Linked DNA regions of Oryctolagus cuniculus. The protein of the gene in region 4 interacts with the protein of the main gene of each other region in a pairwise test. Links are inferred from orthologs where the notes say so. Each region holds a gene or a part of one and is shown on either strand. Other genes may lie near its edges.

Region 1 (4,253 bases), on a different chromosome or scaffold from region 4:
CCTGGTGAGCCACAAGTAAGTTTGGAGCAACAGTATCTCACTGAATGATTCACAAAGAGGAGGTTCAGGTCCTGGTCCTTTAAGTTTGGTGCTTACATGAAGTGACTGTTCCCTGACGCTCAGTGGTTACATCAGTGAGAAAGCCGGGCAACAAAAATCAATAAATCAGTAAGCTATAACTGACACACCTATCACCATCTGTAAACAGCTTCAACATACCAGGACGCTGTAATTCAGGTCACTCTGAAAACCATAAATTCACTGGATAGGAACCTTGCGAAAACAAAAAGCTTAGAGGTGAGATTGACAAAAAGCAGTCAATACGCGCAAGAGGCTTGCTGAAGCTAATTCATTCCTCATGGGAAAGCGGATTTCCTCTCCTGAGGAGTCACGCAGTCTCAGATCTCCTCGATGGCACGTGTGAACATTCTGTGAGCAGTTATTTCTGCTAGCATAGCTACTTGGCTGTTTTCAAATGCCCACACGATTGTCTTCTACTCCTGACTGCTTTAGCTTGTATATGATAACGGAACCTTGGGTCCCAAGCACAAAATGTAACTGCTGAGTTTACTGTGTCCTGTATGTGTGTATGAAGGCAGGCCAAGCAGAACCGTGCCTGTGGCTGGTGGGCAGAGGGATTTCCTGACAGCAACTCACCAGCACGGCGCCATCTTTTGCACCTTGAAGCTTTCTTGAAGCAACTCTAATAGAGTTTCACACTTCATTTCAGTATTTCCATTAGTGAGTCTGGCAAAAGCGTCAAAACATTTGCCTTTTTTCTCCAAGCAACTGAGTTATAGATTACCGCTTTGTTACCCTTGCAGCAAAAATTCAGAGCTTTAAAAATTCTTGCACTAAGACGTGTCCTGGGTTTACTAGTTCTGACATTAACTAAATGCTCTAGTTATCTATCATTTTCCTTATCTATCATTTCCTCATCTGTGATTGCTGTCATTCTCTGAGCATGTTCCATCTGGGTGTGCACTGTCTTAAGCATATTATATAATCTCACGGCATTGTGATTGAAGAGGCTTTGGACCCTGACACCATTTCTAGCTCAGCCAATTACCGCCCTATGACCCTAGGCAAGCTACTTTACCTCTGTGCCTCACGTTGGTTGTTAGGAGGAGTGCGTGAGTTACCATTAGAATGGTACCTGGAACTCAAGGAAGAGCACGCAATTCTGTAAGCACTAGTCTCAGTAAACAAGAGCCCAGTGAAGCTATGCCATGGAGGCCGGTGCCATGACACATCTCTGATGCCGGCATCCCATATTGGCAGCGGTTTGTGTCCTTCTGCTCCATTTCTGATGCAGCTCCCTGCTAAAGGTCTGGGGAAAGCAGTAGATCGCCCAAGTGTTTGGGTCCCTGCCACTCTTGTGGGAGACCTGGATGATTCTGGCTTTGGCCTGGCCCAGCCCTGGACATTATAGCCATCTGGGGAATGACTCAGAGGATGCAAGATCTCTCTGTCTCTCCCTCTCTCTAATTCTTTCAAATAAATAAATAAATATTAAAAAAAAAAAAAAGTTCCTGAAAGGTTCATTTAGGCCCAAGTTCACACAACTAGCAAATGAAAGAACGGGGTGGGGGTGGGGGGAGTGTTTGAACTCAGCTGTGCCAAACTCAGAATCTCCTATTTTCACTGTTGGTGTACTTGGACTAGAACACTGCACCCACCCATCATGCAGGGATACTGTGGAAAGTGCAGCAAGGCAGGTGGAGCCTCGCATATGGCTCAGCACATGCTCACAGCTCTCATGGGCGAGTCCTGTCTAGGCCCAGTTTGAAATGACTCAAATACTATTTGGTCAACACCAGGTGTGGCGCAGTCCAGCAAAGGGTTGGCAGGAGATACTTACAGCCCAGATTGAGGCCTTGTGAGTCTGTGCACAGGACTCCAACAATGGACGGGTTCTTCATCCTAATTCCAGAAACACAGGAGAGGTGAGGCAGAGGGCTTGAGAAAGTGGATGCAAACGGTTATGACGCCCGTGGGCCTGCCATGCTATCAGGCATTGCCTAAGTGCTTTAAATGGGTTTCTCGACCTCTTTCCTACCACACTCCCCAACCCCGAGCAAAATTAAAGTAGTAATTGAAGCCAGCTGCAGAGAAGAATGAGTATCTGCTGGGTTTGGGAAGCCTAGGCGCACGCAACAGTTCGGATGCGGGGTTTTTCGCCGTTCTAACCGCACGCTTTACGTAACAGCTCAGGTAAGACAACTGGACAAACTAAGAGGCGTTGCCTCCCGGAAGGGAAGTGGGATGACGAGGGAGTGGCTGGGAGGGTGGTGTCTGCACGTACACCTTAGACTTTTGCAGCTTTGAGTTTACACAGACGTTAACACATTTAAGGAACAGGTATTTCCTTAAACACCAAATGACAGATCGCACACACGATCTGTGTGTGTGTGTACCCGGTGCGGCCGACGGCACACCTGCGACACCCTCCTGAACGACCTAATCCTGCGGACGGCGCCCCGAGAGGAAGGCTGCGGGCCCCAGCGGGATATTAACTTCGGGCCACCGGCCCCGTCCCCTCGGCCAGCCTTCTGGGGTGGCACGGCGTCCCCGAGCCGCCCTCCGGCGCTCGCGGGTCTCGCCCGCTGTCCCGCACGTAACCCGCGCTGCGACCTCAGAACTGGCCGGAGAGGCCCGCACTGCTCACGTGTCCTCCAGGTGCTGCTCCAAGGTCGCCTCCATCCCGCCGGCCGGCAGCGCACCCCCGCCCGGGCCCCCGGAGCCGTCGCGTTCCGCTTCACTGCGGGCCTCCGTCACGTGACGCGAGCCTTCCGCTGCCCGCGACGGCGCCGCCGATGGGACAAAATTCGCCGCGGCGCCACGTCCGAGTTCTCTCCCGGAAGACGGCGCCGAGCCGTGCTCCCGTCTCCCTGAGGGTTCGGGCTGCGCGGGGTGAGAGTCTGCAGCCAGGCCCCAGCGCCTCAGTTCCTGGCCTGCAGTCTGGCCCAATGGTTCTTGTCCGTTGGTCTCAGTGCAAACGACTCCGAGACCCAAGGACAGGATGGTGTTTGACAGTAACCCTGCGGGCCCGGCGGGATGGAGCAAGTGGCCAGAGGAGCCACGGGCTCCTTGAAGGGCGTACACCCGGGACAAAGGACGAGGTGGCCCGCGGGTAAAACCCGGAGCGGGGCGCTGGCAAAACGTGTTGGAATTTTAACTAAGACACTGCTTTTCCTGTGATCAGGGCTCAGGAAGGTTTGGGGCCAGAAGGTGCCGTGTGATACCTAACGCATAAGGAGGACTGGGGTGACACTCCCTGAAAACAGCTTTACAAGCTGTCAAAGCCAAGATTAAAAATAAAGGAAGGAAACCAGCCACACTTCCCACACTTCCACTGCCAGAAGTGACTGCAGTCCCTTTCAGGTGGATGTATTTGCAGAGGTATGCTCTAAATGGCTTTTGTTCTTTTCTAAGCAAAAAAAAAAAATATTGGACATGATTCCTTTGCTGAGCCTTTGCACAGGTTTTAGCATAAATGTCTGTTCGTGTTAATAAATACTTAGTTTTGAGGCCGGTGCTGTGGCACAGTGGGTTAAAGGCTTGGCCTGAAGCACCAGCATCCTATATGGGCGCCGGTTTGAGCCCCAGCTGCTCCACTTCCGATCCAGCTCTCTGCTATGGCCTGGGAAAGCAGTAGAAGATGGCCCAAGTCCTTGGGCCCCTGCACTGGCGAGAGAGACCCGGAGGAAGCTGCTGACTTTGGATCGGCACAGCTCCGCCATTGCAGTCATCTGGGGAGTGAACCAGCGGATGGAAGACCTCTCTCCCTGTCTCTACCTCTCTCTGCAGCTCTTTCAAATAAATAAAATATTTAAAAATAAATACTTAGTTTTTATTAATTGCAAAATATTCCATGTCTCAGCCGTATGTGCTTTAACTGACTTGACCAACTCCATGTTAATGTACAGTTTGGATACTAGCTTGCTGGGTGAATATCCTCTTGGCTAAATCTCTGTGCAGTTTAAAATTTTCCTGGTAAGCTACTAGAAGTGGAATTACCGGGCCAAAGGATATGGTTGTTTTTAAGACTTGATGGACGTGAATTGCTGGCACAGAGGTAGTGCCAGCGTGCACTCAGATGGTAGCACTTTGGTGAAAACAGGAGCGCACCTGTGTGTCCTGCCAGTTCTGCTAAGCCTCGCCTTACCGGAAGCGTGCTTGAGCCCTCTCACCTGCAGCTGTTACCCGGGCTCCCTGCTGACTATGGCCAGCTCAGGGCGCTTTCAGCCTGG
Region 2 (3,500 bases), on a different chromosome or scaffold from region 4:
TAGCAGAGATGGGAAGAGGAGCAGCTGGGACTAGAACCAATGCCCATATGAGATGCCAGCACTTTAGGCCAGGGCGTAAACCCGCTGCACAACAGCACCGGGCCCGACAATTTAATTTTTGACAAGTACACGTTTTCAAGGCAAATATCATTCGTGGTCACAGGAATTTAGTTACAAACCTGTCTGGCATGTTAGCTTCATAATCATATAACTTCTTGTTCCAGGATTTAGCCTTAAGAAAATCATCTTCCAGTGTCCCAGAAATTTCATTCTTTGGCTTCCAATAATCTCTTTGACTTTCTTCATCAAAGCCATCACTACGCATCCGGCTATAAGAGAAAGCAGAATGTTTAGATTTAGATTTAGATTTGAAAGCAATTTGTGAGGGAACTTTAAAGAACATCATACACAAAACCCATAGAACAGGGGCCGGTGCTGTGGCATACACAAAACCCTTAACAGTGCCGGCATCCCTTATGGGTGCTAGTTCAAATCCCAGCTGTTCCACTTCCGATCTAGCTCTCTATGATGGCCTGGGAAAGCAGTAGAAGATGGCCCAAGTGCTTGGGCCTCTGCACCCACATGGGAGACCGGAAGAAACTCTTGGCACCTGGCTTCAGATTGGCACAGCTCCAACTGTTGTGGCTAATTGGGGAGTGAACCAGCGGATGGAAGACCTCTCTCTTTCTCTCTGCCTCTCCTGCTCTCTCTGTGTAACTCTTTTTTTTTTTTTTTAAGATTTATTCATTTATTTGAAAGTCAAGAGTTACACAGGGAGAGAGAGAAAGAAAGAGGTCTTCCATCTTCCATTTATTTATATAAATAAATATTAAAAAAAAATTCAAAGAACAAGCTGAGGTGAGAACAAAATAACCTGATACTTACTATTAAAAAAAACAGAGCCGGCGCCGTGGCTCAATAGGCTAATCCTCCACCTTGCGGCGCCGGCACACCGGGTTCTAGTCCCGGTTGGGGCGCCGGATTCTGTCCCGGTTGCCCCTCTTCCAGGCCAGCTCTCTGCTATGGCCAGGGAGTGCAGTGGAGGATGGCCCAGGTGCTTGGGCCCTGCACCCCATGGGAGACCAGGAAAAGCACCTGGCTCCTGGCTCCTGCCAGGATCAGCGCGGTGCGCCGGCTGCAGCGGCGGCCATTGGAGGGTGAACCAGCGGCAAAGGAAGACCTTTTTCTCTGTGTCTCTCTCTCTCACTGTCCACTCTGCCTGTAAAAAAAAAAAAAAAAAAAAAAAAAACAAAAACAAACCAACAACTTGTAACAGACATTATTTCTTCCTGTCTATACATTTGTAAAGTCCAATGGAAAAAAATCGGACCGCTACTACTCATCCTAATGTAGGGTACAGATGAAATCAGTTCTGGATTATGTCATACTGTGACTCACTCACTGGTTCTCAACTGGAAGAGAATACAAGGAGGGAAACAGCACAGTCACCACTGGGAACACCGCAAACTACCCTAGAGATTCTGAAATACACCTCCCTTTCCAACAAACCAGCAACTAACAGTAGCGAGGTCACTGAAATGGGAACAAGGCCTTACCAGTCTACTAACCTGACAGTAAGTCAGTTAATCAGTTACCAAAATGTTTAAAGGCCTCCTATATTCTGGGCACTGTTCTAATACAAATGTAATAGCTAATGAGATGCTCAAAATCCCTGCCCCTAAAGAGACTGTCTTATGTTTTAAAGATTTATTTACTTTTTATTTGTCAAATAAAGAAACAATTACTAAAATTATGTATTCACCATGAAAGACATTAATAAGAGTCCACTCTAGAAGAGCAGTCACTGAGCCAGTATTGTGGCACAGTGGATTAAGCTGCCGCCTGCAACACCAGCATCCCGTGTGAGTGCTGGTTCAAGTCTCGGCTGCACCATTTCCAATCCAGCTCCCTGCTAATATACCTGGGAAACAGTGGAAGATGGCCCAAGTACTTGGGTCCCTGATATCCACATGGGAGACCCAGATGGAGTTCCTGGCTCCTGGCTTTGGCTTGGGCCAGGTTATTGTGGCCATACAGGGAGTGAACTGGCAGATCGAAGATCTCTTTTTCTCCTTTCACTCTGCCTTTCAAACAAATAAATCTTTAAAAAAACAAAAAAGCAATCATTTTGTTTCTGAAAATGTCACTTAAATAACCAATACAAAATAAATCATCTGTAGTACTTCTAAATTCTCAAAGGACCACCTTCAAAAAGAAAAATAGGGTGGGCATTGTGGCACAGTGGATTAAGGTGCTGCTTGGAATGCCTGCATTCCATTACTGGAGTGGCAGTTCAAGTCATGCTACTCTACTTCCAATCCAGCTTCCTGTATTAATGCAACCTGGAAAGCAGCAGATGGTGGCTCAAGTGCTTGAGCCCCTGCCACCCACATGGGAGACCTGGATGGAGTTCCAGGCTCCTGGCTTCAGCCCAGCCCAGACCTGGCTGTTGAGGGCATTAAAGAGGTAAATGAGCAAATGGAAGATTCTCTCTCTCTCCTACCCGCCATCCCCCCTTGCCTTGCAGTTGCTTTGCCTTTCAAGTAGATGAAATGAAAGAAAGAAAAAATACTTGAAAGGTATTTATGTTGAGACTGCTTTGTTTATGTATACCCTAAATACGGGTCTGAAGCCATTCACACAGCCAATGATATATTAAATCTATACATCCTGCAGACAAACATACGCTCCTTAAATATCTCACTATTAACCAATTATTTCCTTGGATGGCTTTAGAAATCAGGATTATTACTTGGTACTCATTACTTGATACATCTACTTTCCTACATTTAAAGGCAGAGGAGGGCCAAGAGATATTTCCAATTACATGAAAATTCCTGTACCTCCACAGTAAGAGATGGCCAAGCCTGCATGATATTTCACATTCACATTCAAAATTATTAAGGATATGTAAAAGGCTGTAAACCTGGCAGTAAGTCCATGGAGTAAAGAAAAAGCTGAAAGAATGAAAGACTAATTTCTTAGAAAAAAGGAATGACTCATCAGTTAAGTGACTGTAAGAGTCTAACAAAATTTTAAGTTATAAGCTGTTAGGCAAAATCAGAATACACAGAACTCTGGACATTTTCACCTGTTCAAGTCAGAATTTTTAAATTCTCCACTGCAGATCAAGTACAATGATTGGAGTCATATATATCGTAGTCATTATCTCTTTTTGTTTGGGTCTAAATGAATGAAACCAGGAAGGCTTAAGGACTCACAGAACAGAATTCATCTATCCTTAATATACCAAAATGTTTTTTTTAAAAAGTGGACAATCCTGAAAAAGATGAGCTTTATTTTGGTTCTCAGAGCTGCAACTTCACCTTGAACTGCTGGGCAACATTCTCCTTTTGGTCCCCTGGTAAGCATCTTCCATCTGTTTCTCTAGTTCTCTTATTTTCCACATATCTGATTCCTCCTGAATCTAGATTAAAAAAAAAAAAGAAACAAAATAAACTATTAAAACTTGAATTCACATTACAGAAAAGTAATTGAAA
Region 3 (2,722 bases), on a different chromosome or scaffold from region 4:
TGAAAATTGTGGATATTAGGTACACTCTTAGACCCCAAACATGTCTACAGTATGAAAGAACTCTTATGTGATGACTATATAATCAATAATAAAGTATAGCTTCTCCTTTAACTACACTGAGTTTTCAAGAAGGTATTTGAAGTGCTGCATTCTTGAAGTTCAATTTTACTAAAACCCATGCTTACTTTAGGTCATGAAAGCCTAAAGCAATTAGCTTTAGGGTGAAGTTAATCAGGAATACTGAAAGCTAGATATATTTGCTACAATTATCTTCATGTTGGACATCATCTTTAGAAATCCCAGAATCAGAAAGAGATGAAAGCAGTTTTTCCTTACTGAGGTTTCACTATGCCAGGAAAAAAAAAAAAAAATCAAACCAAAAACCCAAATATATCCCATTTAGGTATTTATAGAACATTAACTAATAAAAAGTCTCATAATTCAGACACATACTTTGGCCAAGTTTATCACATCTAAAAAATTCATATATAAAACAAGTATCAGTTCAAAATAGTTTACTTTTTAAGAAAAGCCTTCAGGAAATATAAAAATAAATTTGGTGGAAAGGAATGTTAAAACAGCCTGAAATTGAAAGGACATCAGGTTAATGTATGTTACATTATTAGGTACCAAGGCACCCCAGGTATCTTGTTTTACTCTTTAGACCAGAGGTACTTAACACGGATCTTCTAATTTAAGCAACTCAGAAGTGCCTTTAAAGTGCTCCATTTCTGCTGCCTGGCACTCTAAAAAATTCTCCTGATCCTACTGTCCTGTCATTTCATCAAAGCAAAATTGCCAGCCATTCTAGACTTTTCAGAGAGGGATTTTTGGAGATTTTTCTTATAAATACTAAAAAATCCTGAAGAATTACAGGTTAAGATATATTCCCCTCATAATGCGATAAACTGCTTCAAAATATGAAATCAAGCTGAATTAATTTTTTACATTTAATTTATCTTACATTTCTATATCATTAAGATGCCAATGTTTTAATGAAAAAGTAGAAAAGTATAAAATTCAGCATCATCTATTTCAAATACAAGTACAGTGAATATTAAACAGGAATGACAATATAGTAACAAAAATAGAACATGTATATTTACTCAAACTGAATTAACTCTGTGAATTTAAGGTGTATGGCAGGTTGAATGTGATTTCGGCAACTGTCACATTATCAGTTTAACACTTTCCAAATAGTTGAGGCATTTCTCTATTTACACAGACTTAGTATGCATATGCCGACCTGAAAACAGTTTGTCTGCCATGTGGGGTATCTAGCCATTAAGTATGGATACTTATCATTACTCCATGTGACCCTGGGTCCCTCTCTTCAGAAAGATCAATAATGCATTTGGCAAATGTCTTGAAACATAGATTGTGAATTAAAATAGGTACAACTGTAATACTATGAAGAAAGTCCCAAATGTATGTTTTAAAAATGATAGCATTTGAGAAAGACAAAACTATAATTATCACCAGCTATATTTTCCAAAAATTCAGTTGAGGTAACCTCTGCAAGTTGCAGCTCCACATTTGCATACAGTTCTGACTCTCTTTTTGGCTGGGCTGTGATCAATAGAATCTGAAGATATATCTCCAGAACCTGAATACATAGAAGAAATACAGGAGAAAAAGAGTTAAGACAATTCAGAATGAATTTCAACTTTCCTATTAAAGTAGTTAACAAGGATGACTACATACTTAAGATTAACAGAATAAGTTAACTCCCAAGGAAATTTAAGTTCCCTTTGTATTTTTAGATAAATGAATACAAACAAGTCATTATAAATTGCCTTTAAAAGGATGGTGTAGGCCAATAATAGATAGACTCTTATTAGCCCGCATTTGTGAGACTGAATTTCTGAAATGATGAAACTTTAACCGGGAAAATTCCATATATAATTCACTGATTTCATTTAAGAGCACATAAAGCGAGGTCAAATAATTAACTATAAAAAGCATCATTCTTAGAAAAACGAAGGAAAATATCAAAATAGAGCAAACAGACTTAAATATTCTTAAAAGATTCAAACAGGAATGGAGTAAGTTTGCATGTGATTTAATTTACATTAAGAATACATGTTAGTAATGAATTAGTAAAGATTTTACAAATATAGGCTTAAAATTATATTGAGAAAAGATGTTATAATAAATCAGCTTCTTGAATGGAAGTTTTGCAAAAAGTCAGAAGGTAAATATTATATAGAAGACTGACCCTTCCAAAGCCCAAGCAATTTCACGCAGATCTAAGTTCCAGCTTAGCCGTCAGATTAATGCTGGCTCTTAAGGAGAACCAGCTCCTATAGCCTTTTTTTTAATCTTTAATATTTCGTCATTAGTCTCTTTCAGATGATCTAAGGTCTTCTATTCTGATTTGATCCTTCATATTGAAACTAATACCAATAAAAGTTTATTTGAAAATCATACCTTTCATTTGATAATCAAAAGTGAGCTCTTCACCAGCATTTATGGTTCTTGTAGAAAATAATGCTATTCGTGGAAGACGAGTATCAAGGTTATCAATGAAAACATTGAACACCTGAAGATTTGGGTCACACTAAAAAGGAATATTAGAACCGATTTAAGTAAAAATACATGAATGAGCTCTTTTATGTGCCACATAAAATATTTAATTTCCCAGAGTATTATTTAAGTTTCTACTGGAAATAAAGTTACTTATAATTTAGAGGTCTTTAAGGCATGCACATTTAAAAATAAC
Region 4 (3,500 bases):
GCAAAGCCCTGCTCAGAAAAACTACAAACTACTTTATATTAATAAATCATATAAAAATTCACATTGTATATTTATATAAATTATATAAATTAATAAATTATATAAAATTCACATTTTGTATTTATATATATTTATAATATATAGTACATATTATATATTTATATATACTTATATTTGCATATATTTATGCATTTTATATTTATATAAAATTTATAATTATATAAAATTATAAAATATATTAAAAATAATTTTTTTTTTTTACAGGCAGAGTGGACAGTGAGAGAGACAGAGAGAAAGGTCTTCCTTTGCCGTTGGTTCACCCTCCAATGGCCGCTGCGGCCGGCGTGCTACAGCCAGCACACTGCGCTGATCCGAAGCCAGGAGCCAGGTGCTTTTCCTGGTCTCCCATGGGGTGCAGGGCCCAAGCACCTGGGCCATCCTCCACTGCACTCCCGGGACACAGCAGAGAGCTGGCCTGGAAGAGGGGCAACCGGGACAGAATCCGGCACCCCAACCGGACTAGAACCCGGTGTGCCGGCGCCGCTAGGCGGAGGATTAGCCTAGTGAGCCACGGTGTCGGCTATAAATAATTTAATAGTTGAATTACTCAGAAACAAGCATCATGGTCACAGGAAAAATCTGACTAGTTGGCGTCAATAACTTTTTTTGAAGATTTATTTAAGTGAAAGTTACAAAGAGAGAAGGAGAGGCAGAGAAAAAGAGGTCTTCTATCTGCTGGTTCACTCCTTAGATGGCCACAATAGCTGGAGCTGTGCCAATCTGAAGCCAGGAGCTTCTTCCAGGTATCCCACACAGGTGCAGGGGCCCAAGGAGTTGGGCCATCTTGTACCACTTTCCCAGGCCATAGCAGAGAGCTGGACCAGAAGTGGAGCAGCCAGGACCCAAACCAGCGCCAATATGGGATACTTGCATTGCATACAGAAGTTTTATTTACCCTCTATGCCACAGTGCCAGCCCCAATAACTTTATTTTTTAAGATTTATTTATTTGAAAGGTAGAGTTACTGGGGTGGGGGGGCGTGGGAAGAGATCTTCCATCAGCTGGTTCATTCCCCAAATGGCCGTGACAATGGTCAGGGCTAGGTCAGACTGAAGCCAGGAGCCAGGAACTCCATCTTGGTCTCCAATGAGGGTAGTAGGGGTCCAAGTACTTGGGGTGTCTTCTGCTGCCTTCTCAGGCACATTAGCAGGCAGCTAATTGGAAGTGGGGCAGCTGGGACTTGATACTACACTTGATCTTATCCAAAAGGCCGAGAAGCGCGATGACAGCTGGGACTTGAACAAGTACTCTGATAGATCCAGACTCACAGGCAGTGGTTTAACTGACTGCACCACACCACTGGCCTGGTACAAACCATTTTAAATAGTTTCTTGTATAATGGATAAGGTCTAACATCTATTTCTATTCTCACAGAATCACCCTGAAAGATACTCTTAAATCTTGTGTCCCTAATTCTAAATATGTAATTACATTCTAAATTTGAGAAGGGGACTCTAACTCTCTAGACAAAGCAAATTAAAAACAATGCAAAGAAATAAGAAACAAAAAAAAGTAATAAGAAAATAATAGGGGGCCAGCAGGTTAAGCTATTACTTGCAATCCTGACATCCCACAAAGAAGTACCAACTTGAGTCCTGGCTGCTCTGCTTACAGGTTAGCCCCCTGCTAATGCACCTGGGAAGGCAATGGAGGATGGCCCACGTATTTGAGCCCCTGTCATCCATGTGGGAGACCAGGATGGAGACCCAATTCCTGGCTTCAGCCTAGACCAGCCCTGACTGTTGCAGTCATCTGGGGAATGAACCAACAGATAGAAGAGCACTCTCTGTCACTCTGCCTGTCAAATAAATAAATCTTTAAAAAAAATTGTTGGCATTGTGCATAGTGGCTAAAGGCTGCCCTGCAACACCACATAGGCACAGATTTGAATCCCAGCTGCTCCACTTCCAATCCAGCTCCCTGTTGATGTGCCTGGGAAAGCAGTGGAGGATGGCCCAAGTACTTGGGCCCCTGCATCCACATGGGAGACCCAGAAGAAGCTCCTGGCTTTGGACTAGCACAACTAGCTGTTGTAGCCATTTAGGGAGTGAACCAGCAGACAGAATACTCTCTGTAACTCCGCCTTTCAAATAAATATAATCTTAAAAAAATTATTTTTAAAATACCCTTAGGGGGCCAGGGCTGTGGTGTAACAGGGAAAGCCACCACCTGCGGTGTCAGCATCCCATGTAGGCACCAATTCAAGTCCTGGCTTCTTTACTTCTGATCCAGCTCCCTACTAATGCACCTGGGAAAGCAGTAGAGGATGGTCCATGTGCTTGGGCTCCTGCACCCATGTGGGAGGCCCAGATGAACACCCTGGCTCCTGGCTTTGACCTGGCCATGCAGCCATTTGGGGAGTGAACCAGCAGATGGAAGATCGCTCTCTCTACCTCTCTGTTATTCAGCCTTTCAAATAAGTAAGTCAGTATTTAAAAAAAAAAAAAAAACATTTAAATAAAACATTCATAGTTTTATGATTTTTTTTTACCAATAAGCATTCTAGCAAAGTTTAATGGAGAGAGTACACCTGACAGACCAGGCAGGCATCACAGTGAAGAACTGAGAGCCTCATGATCCATTTTTATTGTAAATACAAGGATCAATTTTGAAATTATAACCAAGAATGTAGGACTTAAGCAAAAAGGGGGCACTGGGAACAGGAGCAGAGAATCTGAAGCAGTTTGTAGGTATATGCTCTCTTGAGCTTGTTTCTCAGAGAACATCAAGAAAGGCTTATCTTCCAACATGTTACTCAGAGGTGTCAGACCACCATAAACAAGCAACTTTAAGACTGTAAGATGGGGCCAGCATTGTGGTACAGAAGGTTAAGCCACCACTTGCAATACTTGCATCTCATATTGGAGTAACAAAACCATATAACAGTCTTGAATCTGGCATTTCCCAAAAATTATTTGACCAATTACTTGAAGAATTTTTTCAAAGTCAAATTTTTCATTTGTACACAACATTCTTCAGTACATAGTAAGAAACACCAGCTTAGACTACTTTAAGCTTACCTGCTTTTCAGCCATGAGTTTGTCTGATAACTGACTGGACTGCTGGGCTTTAGGGGATGCTGGAGACATTGTGGAATCAGAAGTGGAGATTGGCAATAAAAAAATCTGAGTTGCCTAATGAACAAAAGTGAAATGAGTTAAGAGAAATCATACTTAAAAGAACACACTACTCTTGCAGGGCAAATTAGGCCACTCCTGCGTCAAAACTTTATGACTTCCTAGACCGTTGATGGAAGAATCATTTGAATAAATGCTATCCTATAATGGTCTTCTCTGGAATAAAACATTCTGGGGTTTTAGACACATATACACCTCCACACATATGAGAGCAAGAACTATTTGTTTTAACTAGATAACATGAAAAGCACATGAAACTAAAAACTGTTACCTTTTAGAAGTAGCTACTTCCCTCAAACCTAA
Region 5 (4,023 bases), on a different chromosome or scaffold from region 4:
ATAGGATTTATAACGTATACCACGAATGCGTAATTTAGCTAGGTGCGTGGCTGGAGCAGAAATTAACTATTGAAAACTTGCAATGGGTCAAATTCTGGATCATTCCAAACTGGAATTCCCCTAATGAAATCACAACAGAACCTCTGATGACCCCAAAGACAAATCACACTCTGGAAGTTTCCACGAATGCCAAGTCACTCCTTGGAGTTCAGTAAAGATAGTGAGTGGTTGCAAGTAGTCTAACTCATCAACGGCCTTTTTTGCTTCAGGAAATTAGTTGATTTTTTCCCTCCTCCGGGTATCAAACAAATATTCTCATGCTCGTGACTCAACAATCTAAATGAAACGGTGAGTATGTAATTTTTCTTTGAAAGAGAATAGCATATCCCAGCCCCTTCGCGGGCTGCCCCCTTGAAGACGCCTGCCAGAAGTGGTGTTTTCTCAGCTACCGGCCTCTGCACTTGCAACCTGACTAGCACAGAGGAACCATACTTCTATTTGTCTCCTTTGTGTTGCCTCTGATGCTTTTCTTCAATGGCCCAAACTGGAGAGTGTTCTGTGATGTTGCTTTAACTGGACAGAACATTAAGTTCATGATCAAGGAGAAATGAAACTGAAAGGAGCGCGTCGGGATGGCAGCCCGCTTCTCCCCTGGCATATCAATTGCTGATAAAGGATGCGAATCGCCCCGATGATCTATCCCAGCTACCTGCGGACGTGAACATCCCTGACAACGGGGCGACTGGGGTAAGTGGTGGGGCACCTAGACACCATGCTCAACACTTACTGGAATCGTTTTCCATCGCTAAGAAAGCAAAGGGCAGTCACCGCTCTTACGTCGCCTGTTTTACAGTGCTCCTAAGGGGAGACCCACGAATAAAGGAGAAGAAAAAGAGAGCTGAGACTCTTGGAACGAAGCCTGCCCAAAGGCCCAGTCCTCTGATATTTCCTCATCCTCATCAAGCTCATGGCTCAGTCTTGCACAGAGTAATCATTTGATTTTGGTTAAAGCAGAGTCTGGCCAAATTAATCTTAAAATGAGAGTCCAGTTATTTTTGTCAAGCTCTTCACATTCTAGGTGATTTCAATGAGGAAGTTTCATAAAAATGAATATTTTAAGAAATATGCAAGGTCATTGCCATTCACCCATTTGGTAGCTTTGCAGTGAACTTGTTAACATTAGTAAACACTCACTGTCTTTGACAGTGACCTTGCTGACCTACTTTTGACAACGCGATCTTGGCTCCCTCGTGGCTTACTATGATGAGTTCTTGGTAACAGCATCCTTTCTCACGAATTGAATTGAAGCAAGTTAGACCTTCAGAAAGTGTCAGTTTAACTAGCTTGCTGGTCCCATAGTTGGCTTTGACACACCGGGCAGAGAGTGAACATTTCCCAGTTGTGTCTATGGCTTAAGTCTCTCACTCCTAGTGACACAAGTGACTATCTTCACCTGCCCATTCTGGTTGCACGCTGTTTTTCAAAGCCACAGCTCTGTACCCCTCAATCGTTACCTTCATTTGTGTGGCAAATGCCATCTTCCACTGACAGTGAATAAATCTGCACTAAACCCACATGTAGAACCAGATCACACAAGCCCCCACGATTCCTTCTGTTTTTCCTTCCTACACTTCAGTGATGCAGAACAACAGTCAACAATTAACTGTCCTCTTTTGGGGGTGGAGCGCTGAATGGAAAGAAGAGAACAAGAGACAGGCACCTCCATCCAGCCAAGGTGCAACAAACACCCCAACGCAAGCCACAAATCTTAGCAGACGCCCAGATAAGGTTTCGAGGACACAGCACGCAAGAAGAATGAAATTCTCCAGTGGGACACATCCCGCCCTCCCAGGGCTCCTGGATAAGCCAGCCACCTTGTCCATGCCCAAATTCAGATTTCACACAGGGGTCTCCTTCCTTGGCCCCATGGCAAGTCTCTTTGCAGTTCTGCCAGTCTCAGCTCTGCAAAGCATCGGGATTCTCTCCCACCAAAAACAGAAGCATACATTCTGGGCCATCCCTCAGCGATGCCCCAGGGAGGGCTTTTCGGTTGAAGATGCCCCCAGCAACCTCCAGCCCAGGGACACAGAAATGATTGCCCGGGGGGCGGGGGTGGGGGGGAACTTACCAGCTCCTGAGGATTCAATGGCTCCAGCGGCCTGATTGCTGGCTGTGTTTGTCTCTCTCCCTCTCTCTCTCTCTCCCTGTTTCTCTCGTGTACAGATTGCAGGGAACGTAAAGAACTAGCAGGGACAGTGTTTCAAATGACTTAAGAAAGAGAACAGGAACAATACTTCGTTCTCTTTTTCTCAGATGAGTACCTTCGGGAAGAAGGAAGGAAGGGAGGGGAGAGGGAGGAAGTCAACAACCCTTTGCTTTCCTGAAAAAAAATAAGGAAACAGAAGATAGACATCTCATTTTCTCTTAAACAAAATGTTGGAAGGGGCAAAAAATAAAATCTTTGAAAAAAAAAAAAAAGGAATTCCTCAAATTTGCTCTCTGCCCTGGGAGTTTTTGAAAGAGTTGAAAATGCCTTAGTGGCCAGTGCTGTCCGAACAACGGGTGCTCAGAAAAGGCAGGTCTCCCGGGCTTGCAGAACTCATACAGGCCAAAAGGGAACAAACCGTGTCATGTCGACTCTGAGCTAGGCGAGGTCTGCTCTGCCCTGCTCACGGGGGCAGGCGTGCAGCCTGCGAGACCAGGCGTCGCAGCCACTCAGCCAGGGCTTCTGGCTTTCCTAGGCCCTTTGAAACATTAGCATGGCTGCGAGCTGCTCAGCTGACATTAGACCCTTGGCGCTCCTGCAGGATCGAGTAGCAGATTTCTCACCGAGCTCCATGCCATGGACCCCAGCCAGCGTCCATCTTGGCTGTTGGAGGAAAAGCAAAGGAAGCCCCCTCCCCTGCTGCTGCCCGGCCCGGTTATCTCTGAATTGCTGCGGAGTTCATCCTGCCTTTATGTCCCTGCCGCTTCTGGGACTTGGTCGCCTCTGGAAAATTGCAAGGCGATTTCTAATGCGTCCTCAAAGAACTGCAAAAGAGCATGGGTCTTAGCTAAATCAACCACCGTGTGGGGGAAATGATGGGGAGGCTGTGTAGAAGGAGCCAAGAAACTTCTTGACCAGGGAGGGAACCTGGGGACCCCGGGGGGATGCCTGAGCTGCCTGCCAGCCAGGGCTCGTGGCAACTCAGGAGTAAGCTTGTCTTGGGTCCTCATTCATCGCTTAAGACGATTTTCACCACAAGCAGGAACCGGGAGCTCTGTGGACCTTTGTGGCAGTGAAAGAAAAACCAGCCTGAAGTTACTTCCTCAATTCACCCAATTGTGAGCGAAAACCGGGCTGGAGGGTACGCACCTGATTGCAGACAGCAACTGAAAGTGAGTTCAGGGAAGACATGAGCCACTCCAGCAACTGTGTAAGCTTTGTATTGGGTACTAGAGTGTAGAAAGTTGATTTTTTATTATTATTTTAACAGCTCTCTTCCCCATTATCTATCTAACCACGGACCTTCCTACCTGCCTGAATGGGCGTGCGTGTATCAGGCAGACTTGAAGCTATCATTACGCAGTAAGTATGCAGGAGCCAGAACAGAGCCCTGTCCCGGCCGTCGCCATGGCACCAACCCGGGCACGAGGCACAGCACTGGCCCAGGCATGGGTGACTCACCTCATCAGCCGGTGACAACACCCCCGACCAGGGACACTATCCCTGCAGCTTGCCCAAAGCCGCTGGCCTCCGTGGCCAGAACCCAAACGTCCCTGTCTCCTGCGCCCAGCGCCAGCGCCCTCGGCCCCCTGCTGGCCTTCCTCTGCATCCTGCCTTTGTGGACTGGGAAGGAAAAGGAGCAAGAACATCTAAGAGGACTAAGAGGACGAGGCTGAGCCTGAGCCAGTGGGGCCGCGCGGGAGGACGCACTGGAGGCTCCCAAGGGCGCACCCTTGCGGAGCGCCAGGTTTCCGGACGCACGATGAGAAGGGGTGACGGGGAGGGGGCATCGCCCCCAGGCTGCAGCCCCCCAGACC
Region 6 (4,170 bases), about 130 Mb from region 4:
GTTTTCTAAGTACATGGATTAAAAATGCAAGGTGTTCTGAAAACACACAGTCACACGGCACAGGCTACCCATGGGACTGTGCCTCCCACCCCTCCCTTCCTGGCAGAGGGGAGGGGCGAGGAGAAAGTACACCGAGGGGACACAGCGGAAGGGGCGGGAACTTGGGACGTCGGGGCAAAGCGAGCAGGGCTGCTCCCGTCTCAGCTGCACTGCAGCGTTCTGCTAACGCACCTTACGTAGTCTTCATGCTACCCAGCACGGCACCGGCCCGCCCAGGGGCTGCCCTGCGGTTCCGTCGGCAAGGCGCCCACCACCTTCCCTCCTTTTGCTGCCCAGGAGGCGCGGCTGCCATCCTCCCCTCTCGTCTTGGGAACAACCTACTAATTAAAACCCAGGAAACGGCTTCATAAGGAAAACAAACTCTCAGACAAAACCAACAGGCATTTTAAACACTGTTGTAGAAACTGCTGGATAGCAAGCTCGGATTCTTGAAGGCAACCTTTTAAATCCTTTCCTGAAATGGCACTTTTTCTTAAATCATCACCTTACATTTGAAGTGATATTTCTATCTCGTCTCAGCCCAAAGCCAGGTTCCCTGCATTACTCTCCGTGTGTGTATCTGCTTGTTCCTGTTATAGAAGTTTCAGAAGACAAGCCAACACTATCGCTAACAGCATGCGTAAGAGAATTATTATTCTGTGACTCCTCTCCCAGAAGCTGTCTTGTCAGGACGCACAGCTAAGGCGCCACAGCAGAGAAGCGCGCAGGGCCACCGCGCACGCGCAGTGAGGGGAGGCGCTTACCGCTACTCTCAGCAGCTCCTTCTCCACCTGCTCCAGTTTGTTCTGCTTGGAGGCGGCCGAGTAGAGGGCGGTGGCATAGCGGCCTTCCACGCCGTACACCTGCACCGGCGGCTTGAGAGGGAGAGGGAAGCCGAGGGAGATCGGTGAACCGTGCTTCGTACAGACAACACGGCACGGACAGTCATCAGAGGGCTGTCCTAAGAACAAACCCTCACACCGATTAGGGGTCTGGGTGTTTCCTTGGCCTGACCAGGCAAACGTTTAGGAAGCGCCCGCAGGCACCCCTTCCTCCCTGCGGCGGCGCTGCTGGGGCTCCGCTCCCGGCCCCCACGCCCCAGCGTTCAACGCCACAGAGCCCACGCTTGCACCATCTTCCCCAGGGGACTGCGGCCTTTTCCCTACACGCCACAGTCAATGTACGACTGCACGTGCCGCGTGGTGCTGCGTGGCTGCACAGGGGAAAGCCCAGGCAATAGTGAGGCCGAGCAAAGCACCGTCTCCTGGAGCCTCAGTTTCCCCTTTCACACAACGGCAAGGCCTGCCATGCTCCAGCGCCGCAGAGGGGCGGTGAGAACTTCTCACGTGGAGGGTGGCTCTGGGCGATCTGGTGCTTGGACGACGGCAGGGATGTGACAGTCACTTCTCACCCACTTAAAGGTTCCGCTGGCGTCTGTCACAGGGCAAGCACCCTCCACCATCACCGTCCCCACCCTGCGCACGTGTGTCTTGTGAATCGCAACAACATGCAAAGGTTTACGTAGAAGCGACACCACAGGCCACGGCCTGACTGTAGGGCTAGAGCATGCACACCCTCCCACAGGCCCCTCCCCCACACAGGCGTGTGTATAAAGGACCTACCCTCACGAGCTTGGCAAACGGCCGGACCACAGATGTACTGAAGCTTCGCACCTTCAAAGCAAGAATGGAAACAGGTCAAAAGAAATGTCTTCGAGAATCTCTGTAATTCATTCAATCGCGACCTAAGGCTGCCTTTTAAACGATGTTTTTTGACATAGACTCCACGCGGGTGAGCTGTCTTTATTAGCCAGGAGTCCATGTTCTCACCGAGAATCACGCCACGTTGTTTGGAAAATCGCTTTCCCAGTAATCTCCTAGTTTGCCAGGAACCGGCCGAGGCAAGCGCCCAGTACCAAGGAGAAAACGCTACCTTCCAGGAAGTTAACATCTAACATTTCTGAGCGGGATTTTAACACAAGGGGGAGGAATCCGTAAGGAGCTGTAACAGATGGGCTGTCAGGAATCCACCTGCTGTCTAGTGGTTAGGGCGCGGGAGCGTGACCGCACAAGTTCAAGTCCCCAGCGATGCCCTTGCGGCTCTCAAGGGCCATAATCCACGCACCCGCAAAGGCACGGACCGCCCTCCAGGGCTCTGAGCTCCAGAACGCACTGTGTTAAAACCGGCTCTAAGGGCAGGGTTTTCGGGCTTATGGGGAAATCATGGAAACTACAGCGGGGTCAAGTGCGCAAAGCATCGCGGTGAGACGGAAGCGCGGCTATTTGATTTATTTTTCCCAACGCCACTTTCTCGGTGACACTGGGGTTCGGGTCTTAACCCCATCACTCACTACCCAAGCAGCCCAGGACGCCCCATTTGAACTTCTCATGTCCTTTATAAACCTGGGAAATCCGCCTGAAGTCACCAGCGACCCCCGACGGTTTATGGAACAGCCCAGGCGGCGAAGCCCGGGGCTGGCCGGTGGCCCCTGGCGCCAGGGGTTTCCCGGGCTGTGCCCTGAGGACGCCGAGATGACCGCGCGCCCAGCACCGCGCCGGGCACCCCACAGGCGTCCCGGGGGACGCGAGCCGGGCCGCCCTCACTCGCCAGGCCCCACGACCTTGAACGGCGGCCTTGGTTTCCCAGCGGTGGCCTCGAACCCTAGCGCGCAGGCTCTGGTACAAGTTTCCCCAAGGAGGGCGTCCTCCCAGCTAGCTTCTCTCACCTGCCGGGTGAGCCCGCACACTGCGGGGGCCGCCATCTTCTCCCGGGCAGCTGTAGGTCAAATCCGAGCTGGAAGAGGAAGGGGCGCGAGGGCGCACGCGCGCGTCAGCGTACCCGCTAGGCTCTCTGGGAAGTGTAGGCGTAGGTCGCCACAGCGCGTGCGTAGCCACCTCCTTCAAGCTGGGAGTTGTAGTCCTTAGACGATGCAGTAGGGGTGACCTCCCAGGGGGAGGCTGCACCTGCGAAAGGAATCCTTGAGTTCTGGTCCCCGGGGTAAAAACGATGGCGTTTGTCGCATTTCACAGATACCTTTATGTCCGACTACTCATCCCTCCAGCTGCCTTCTGGAGCTTCGTTTTCCCTTTTGCGGGAACAGGTTTAGCCGACAGCATCGCCGACCTCCTCTTGGGCGCTTCCTTCGTGGCGCCTTCGGCAGAGGTGTCCTTGGAAGCAGGGCGGGTGCGTGCCGGGTACCGACAGCCTAGCGAAGCCGGGCTGCGGGGCTGCCGCCGCGGCTCTCCCCCGCCCGCTGGAGCCGTTGGGAACTGCCATGGCCCCTCCTGGAAGCGTCTTTATACATTCATTAAAAAAAAATTAAGATAAATTCCAAATAGTCCCCAGAACCGGCACAGCCTGGTGAGATAGTCCAAGTACTTGGCTTCCGATGCGTGAGGCCAAGTCCTTTCCACAGGGTTAAACCAAGTCATGCTTTTCGCTCGCTAGTAGTGTCTGAAAATCCTTGTTCCCCTGCACAATGCAAATCATATTTCCAAATACATATTTAATTTAATTTAAATTTTTAAAAAGATTGATTTTATTTATTTGAAAGTCAGAATTACAGGAGGAGAGAGAGACAGAGACAGAGACAGAGGGCGAGACATCTTCCATCCACTGGTTCACTCCCTAGGTGGCTGCAACAGCCAGGGCTGGGCCAGGCCAAAGCCAGGAACCAGGAGCTTCTTCCAGATCTCCCACGTGGGTGCAGAGGACCAGGAACTTGGGCCATCTTCTACTGCTCTCCCAGGCCATAGCAGGGAGCTGCACCGGAAGTGGAGCAACCGGGACTCCAGCCAACGGCCATATGGGATGCTGATGCTACAAATGGCGGCTTTACCTGCTCCTCCACAGCGCCAGCCTCTTCCATATACATCTAATGGAAAGTCTATTCATTTAACACGCTTTGTGGAGCATGGGTCCTGTGTGTCAGAAGCTGTACCATGCCTTGAAGACAGAGCAGGGTATGACAAAGGGCTTGTCTTCGTAGGCCTGGTATTCTCCGTGAAATTGAACGGCAGCACCTGTGTGGGTTTTTGGAGCTATACTGCGAATCCAAAGTGCTGAGGCCAAAAACGCTTGGAAAACAGGGTCGCTCTGAAAAAGATTGGGAATTCATCTGCAGGTGTGTCC
Region 7 (3,500 bases), on a different chromosome or scaffold from region 4:
TGATATTCTGAATGGTCTCATAGCATAAGGCACTTCGCACAAATAAGTAATAAGCTCTTCAGGCTTAAAAAACGGATGAGTAATCAGGGAGAAGTTGAAATGCACGAGAGTCAGCTGTTGGAGAAATTTGAAATCGTAGACAAGCTTGTGTGTTCATTGAGATTCTTCTCTTTTTAGGGTTTCTCCCCTTCTCTTCTTTCTCCTCCTTCCTTGTCCCCTTTCCCCAGAAAACATTTTTTTTAAAACCAGCAGTTAGTGCAACTAATGTTCAGTCAGCACACAGTGCAAACAAGTGGAACAAAAAAGGTATATCCCTTCTTTTCAGCTTTTTTTCTCTTCGCCAGTTAAAAAAAGAAAAAAATGTCTGAGATCTTTTATGTCTTCATAGTTCCAAAATAAAAGAAGATGAAAAACCCACAAAGAGAAGAGCATCCCCCCAAAAAATGATGTGTCACAGATCCAAACGAGCCTTCTGTGGTTTGTCAAAGCCTATAAAGAGGGAAAAACTAAAATCAACATTTGGGCAATCAGCACACAGCAGGATACACAGGTTTTCACAATCCTCAGCTCTACCAGTTTCTACTGAAGCCTTTACCTGTAGAATCCACTGGTTACAACTAAGGCATTTTTGTCCCGAGAAAGAATGGGAGGCTGAATGTTCATTTACAACAATTGAATCAAAGGGAAAAAACTTATTTTACATAAACTGAAATAGTCCGCCAAAGTACTAAGCAAACATTGGCTAGTTTAGCTAATGGTTTTGTGTTTGTTTATTATAATTTGCAAACTACCTTGTCAAATTAAATGAGATTTTCTTTAGGAAATATACTATTCAGTTTTTAAATTTTGAGCCTTGTTTTTTTTACATGTTTCTAATCATAGCCCAATAAATAAACAAATTTTTAAAGAAAAGATGAACGGAGAGAGTGTGCAAAAATCAAAGTGGACATTTTAAAAAGGCAGTCATCCCTCATAACCTGATTACAAATTTGGTAGTAAGGACTACAAGCATTTTTAACTGATTTTTTAATACATACATTAGAAATTCAGAGTGTTAAAAGCAGAGGGATGACTTTGAAAAAGGAAAAAAGATGAGTGAAAAATATTCAAAATGGCTGAGAAAGATTCTTTTTTGCTTTCATTATTTTGGGAGTCTAAAATTGTCATAAGTATTGGTTCACCTATCACATTATTCAGAGGCCTGCATTGCAGGACACCATTTATAGATTCTCTAATGAGAATATAACCTCACCCAAGAGATATTTGCTATTTATTGTAATTTATGCCAACAGTGTTTCACCCTGTATTGCCATTATACATGGTGCGGTATCAAATTCCTCCTGGAAGGGAACTGCGTCAGCTAAAGATGGCCAAGCCTGGGGTTGGTGTCAGATTAAACTGCAGTTCTGAAGTCAACGTCCCCTATGAGACGATCATGCCGTTTAGACCCTCAGCTGCTCTGCTTCTGAGTTAGCTTCCTGCCACTGCAGCTGGAAAGGCATTGGCAAGTGGCTCAAGTACTTGGGATTACTCCCTTGTATTACAGGGAGACCACGATGGAGTTTCTGGGTTTAGTCTGACCTAGACCTGGCTATTGCAGCCATTTGGGAGGTGAACCAGCAGACAGGAACATTTGTCTCTCCCTCTCCCACTGTCACGCTGCCTTTCAAATAAATAAATCTTAATGGGGGAAAAACACCAGATGGATGTGCATGAGCAAGTGGAGCACATGTCTGCTTGCTGCTGACTCACCAATGGCAGGGACCCCACTGTTGACAGCACACGCTTAAGTTTTCCTTTGAGTACAGGAGATCTGAATTGTGTGGACTGGTTAGTCTTGTTTTTGGTGGTCTGTACCTTGTTTTCCTGGCTGTATCTGTGAATGATAGCCTAGCTGCTGGGTAAGAATTCTGCTGTCAGAAAACATCTTAATTTGCTGAGCTGGAATTTTAAAGCCTATCTTTGGTATCTCCCTTTGCTGCAGACTCTGATGGCAGCACACTTCCCCTCTGAGGTTCTGTCAGGTACTCACATGCTTGTTAAGGTTTCTCGTCTTCTACAGGCTCGCTGTGGTATTCTGCCACATATAGGCTCTTGTCAATGTTGCTTGGGATAGGTTTAATTTCTGTTCCCAGCTGCTCCTCAATACTTTTCAGATTGAAACGATCATCATATGTGATCAAATTGATGGCTAAGCCAAGATGACCAAAGCGACCTAACCAAAAAAAAAAAAAAAAAAAAAAAAAAAGTTTAAATTCATTTTTTTTCTCTCAACAAAGTTCTTTTTACTGCATCTGTCCAGTGTTTACATATCACCTCTCAAGGTCTGACCAGTTCTCAACAACAAATGTACATACATGTGTGTCTCTGTGTGTATACACCAATGCACAGGAAAGGCCAACAGGAGCCTAATGCCTCTTTCAAACACTGGGGGAACTAGCAGAAAAAGGCAAGGCTCCCTAATGTCCACTGTTACATTTCTGTTCTGAATAAATTCATTTTTAAAAACTAAGTATAAAAATTAATGTGTATATGTGCCAGTCTATAATGTGGAAAGAAAAAAAAAAAAACCCAAAACCATACAAGACTAATTTATGTTCAGTGCCATTCTGAATATGATACTTCTTATGGGTCTTATCAAATACATATTATGCTAAAACTTCAGATTTCACACTCCAAAGCAGAAGAGTGAGACCTTTACAATACCTATGTATTCAACCAAACACAGAACAAAAATATTTGGGGAAAAAATATTTTGTGTGTACTGACTATGTACAGACCTTTCCTGGTCATTATTCCTTAAACAATACAGTGGAGGGAATATATTTATAAGTATTTTACACTAGTTTAGGTATTATAAGCTAGAGGTGATTCAAAGCATATGGGAGGATATAGATAGGTTCATACAAATACTATGCCATTTTATGTTAAGACTTCAACACATACAGATTTTGAATCCACAGGGGGTCCTTGAAAACCACCCTCCATAGATACTGAAGGATGGTTACACTGTATTTTACCTTTTCAAGTAAAAAAGTAGCTGCCCATTTGAGTCAGAAGATACAGAATACAGTACAGATTATTAATGAGAAAAGAAATGTTCTCATGTGTTAATTTTATCTTAAATTAGGTATAGGGTAATTATACTTTTCTTAATATTCTAAAAATAGGAGAACTTAATTATTCTTAAACATCAAACAACTGAATTACTATTAATTCACTATTCTCATAAGTAACACACTCTACAAAGGGTGCTCAAAAAGTCTGTGGGAAAAGGCCCATTATAACACCATTTTTCCATTAAGGAACAAAATGTTCTTAGTAAATCTCAAAACATAATTTCCAGCAAGAATACTCCCTCCCTTCTTCTCACCTGATCTTCCAATACGATGAAGATAGGTCTCTGCTAGCTTTGGAAAGTCAAAGTTTATTACCACATTCACAGCTTGTATATCAATACCTCGGGTAAAAAGATCTTAAAAAAAAAAAGAGAGAGAGAG

The links.
Region 1: the proteins of CEP70 (region 4) and LAMTOR5 interact in binary tests that used the Homo sapiens proteins (3 or more experiments, as listed by UniProt). The two-hybrid records come from large-scale screens. The link is inferred for Oryctolagus cuniculus from reciprocal best matches to the Homo sapiens genes CEP70 and LAMTOR5.
Region 2: the proteins of CEP70 (region 4) and NKAPD1 interact in binary tests that used the Homo sapiens proteins (3 or more experiments, as listed by UniProt). The two-hybrid records come from large-scale screens. The link is inferred for Oryctolagus cuniculus from reciprocal best matches to the Homo sapiens genes CEP70 and NKAPD1.
Region 3: the proteins of CEP70 (region 4) and SUV39H2 interact in a two-hybrid assay, tested with the Homo sapiens proteins (2 studies listed by BioGRID and IntAct). The link is inferred for Oryctolagus cuniculus from reciprocal best matches to the Homo sapiens genes CEP70 and SUV39H2.
Region 5: the proteins of CEP70 (region 4) and ZNF366 interact in binary tests that used the Homo sapiens proteins (3 or more experiments, as listed by UniProt). The link is inferred for Oryctolagus cuniculus from reciprocal best matches to the Homo sapiens genes CEP70 and ZNF366.
Region 6: the proteins of CEP70 (region 4) and ATP5PO interact in binary tests that used the Homo sapiens proteins (3 or more experiments, as listed by UniProt). The two-hybrid records come from large-scale screens. The link is inferred for Oryctolagus cuniculus from reciprocal best matches to the Homo sapiens genes CEP70 and ATP5PO.
Region 7: the proteins of CEP70 (region 4) and DDX6 interact in a two-hybrid assay, tested with the Homo sapiens proteins (2 studies listed by BioGRID and IntAct). The two-hybrid records come from large-scale screens. The link is inferred for Oryctolagus cuniculus from reciprocal best matches to the Homo sapiens genes CEP70 and DDX6.

Annotation. Positions count from the first base shown.
Region 1 is NC_091438.1:59,944,330-59,948,582, reverse strand, and holds the start of LAMTOR5 (ragulator complex protein LAMTOR5), read right to left. Parts: upstream 2,801-4,253; 5' UTR 2,704-2,800; coding exon 2,669-2,703; exon of another isoform or gene 1,924-2,668; coding exon 1,862-1,923; exon of another isoform or gene 1-1,861. UniProt on the Homo sapiens protein: As part of the Ragulator complex it is involved in amino acid sensing and activation of mTORC1, a signaling complex promoting cell growth in response to growth factors, energy levels, and amino acids.
Region 2 is NC_091432.1:104,026,853-104,030,352, reverse strand, and holds part of NKAPD1 (uncharacterized protein NKAPD1), read right to left. Parts: intron 3,428-3,500; coding exon 3,327-3,427; intron 2,102-3,326; coding exon 1,922-2,101; intron 330-1,921; coding exon 180-329; intron 1-179.
Region 3 is NC_091444.1:41,010,219-41,012,940, forward strand, and holds the end of SUV39H2 (histone-lysine N-methyltransferase SUV39H2), read right to left. Parts: exon of another isoform or gene 2,561-2,722; coding exon 2,431-2,560; exon of another isoform or gene 1,607-2,430; coding exon 1,500-1,606; 3' UTR 501-1,499; downstream 1-500. UniProt on the Homo sapiens protein: Histone methyltransferase that specifically trimethylates 'Lys-9' of histone H3 using monomethylated H3 'Lys-9' as substrate.
Region 4 is NC_091435.1:143,204,905-143,208,404, reverse strand, and holds part of CEP70 (centrosomal protein of 70 kDa), read right to left. Parts: intron 3,195-3,500; coding exon 3,081-3,194; intron 1-3,080.
Region 5 is NC_091445.1:38,467,995-38,472,017, reverse strand, and holds the start of ZNF366 (zinc finger protein 366), read right to left. Parts: upstream 2,801-4,023; 5' UTR 2,129-2,800; intron 748-2,128; exon of another isoform or gene 1-747. UniProt on the Homo sapiens protein: Has transcriptional repression activity. Acts as a corepressor of ESR1; the function seems to involve CTBP1 and histone deacetylases.
Region 6 is NC_091435.1:11,119,937-11,124,106, reverse strand, and holds the start of ATP5PO (ATP synthase subunit O, mitochondrial), read right to left. Parts: upstream 2,801-4,170; coding exon 2,765-2,800; intron 1,713-2,764; coding exon 1,662-1,712; intron 915-1,661; coding exon 804-914; intron 1-803. UniProt on the Homo sapiens protein: Subunit OSCP, of the mitochondrial membrane ATP synthase complex (F(1)F(0) ATP synthase or Complex V) that produces ATP from ADP in the presence of a proton gradient across the membrane which is generated by electron transport complexes of the respiratory chain.
Region 7 is NC_091432.1:111,506,235-111,509,734, reverse strand, and holds part of DDX6 (probable ATP-dependent RNA helicase DDX6), read right to left. Parts: intron 3,476-3,500; coding exon 3,374-3,475; intron 2,216-3,373; coding exon 2,040-2,215; 3' UTR 2,033-2,039; intron 490-2,032; 3' UTR 1-489.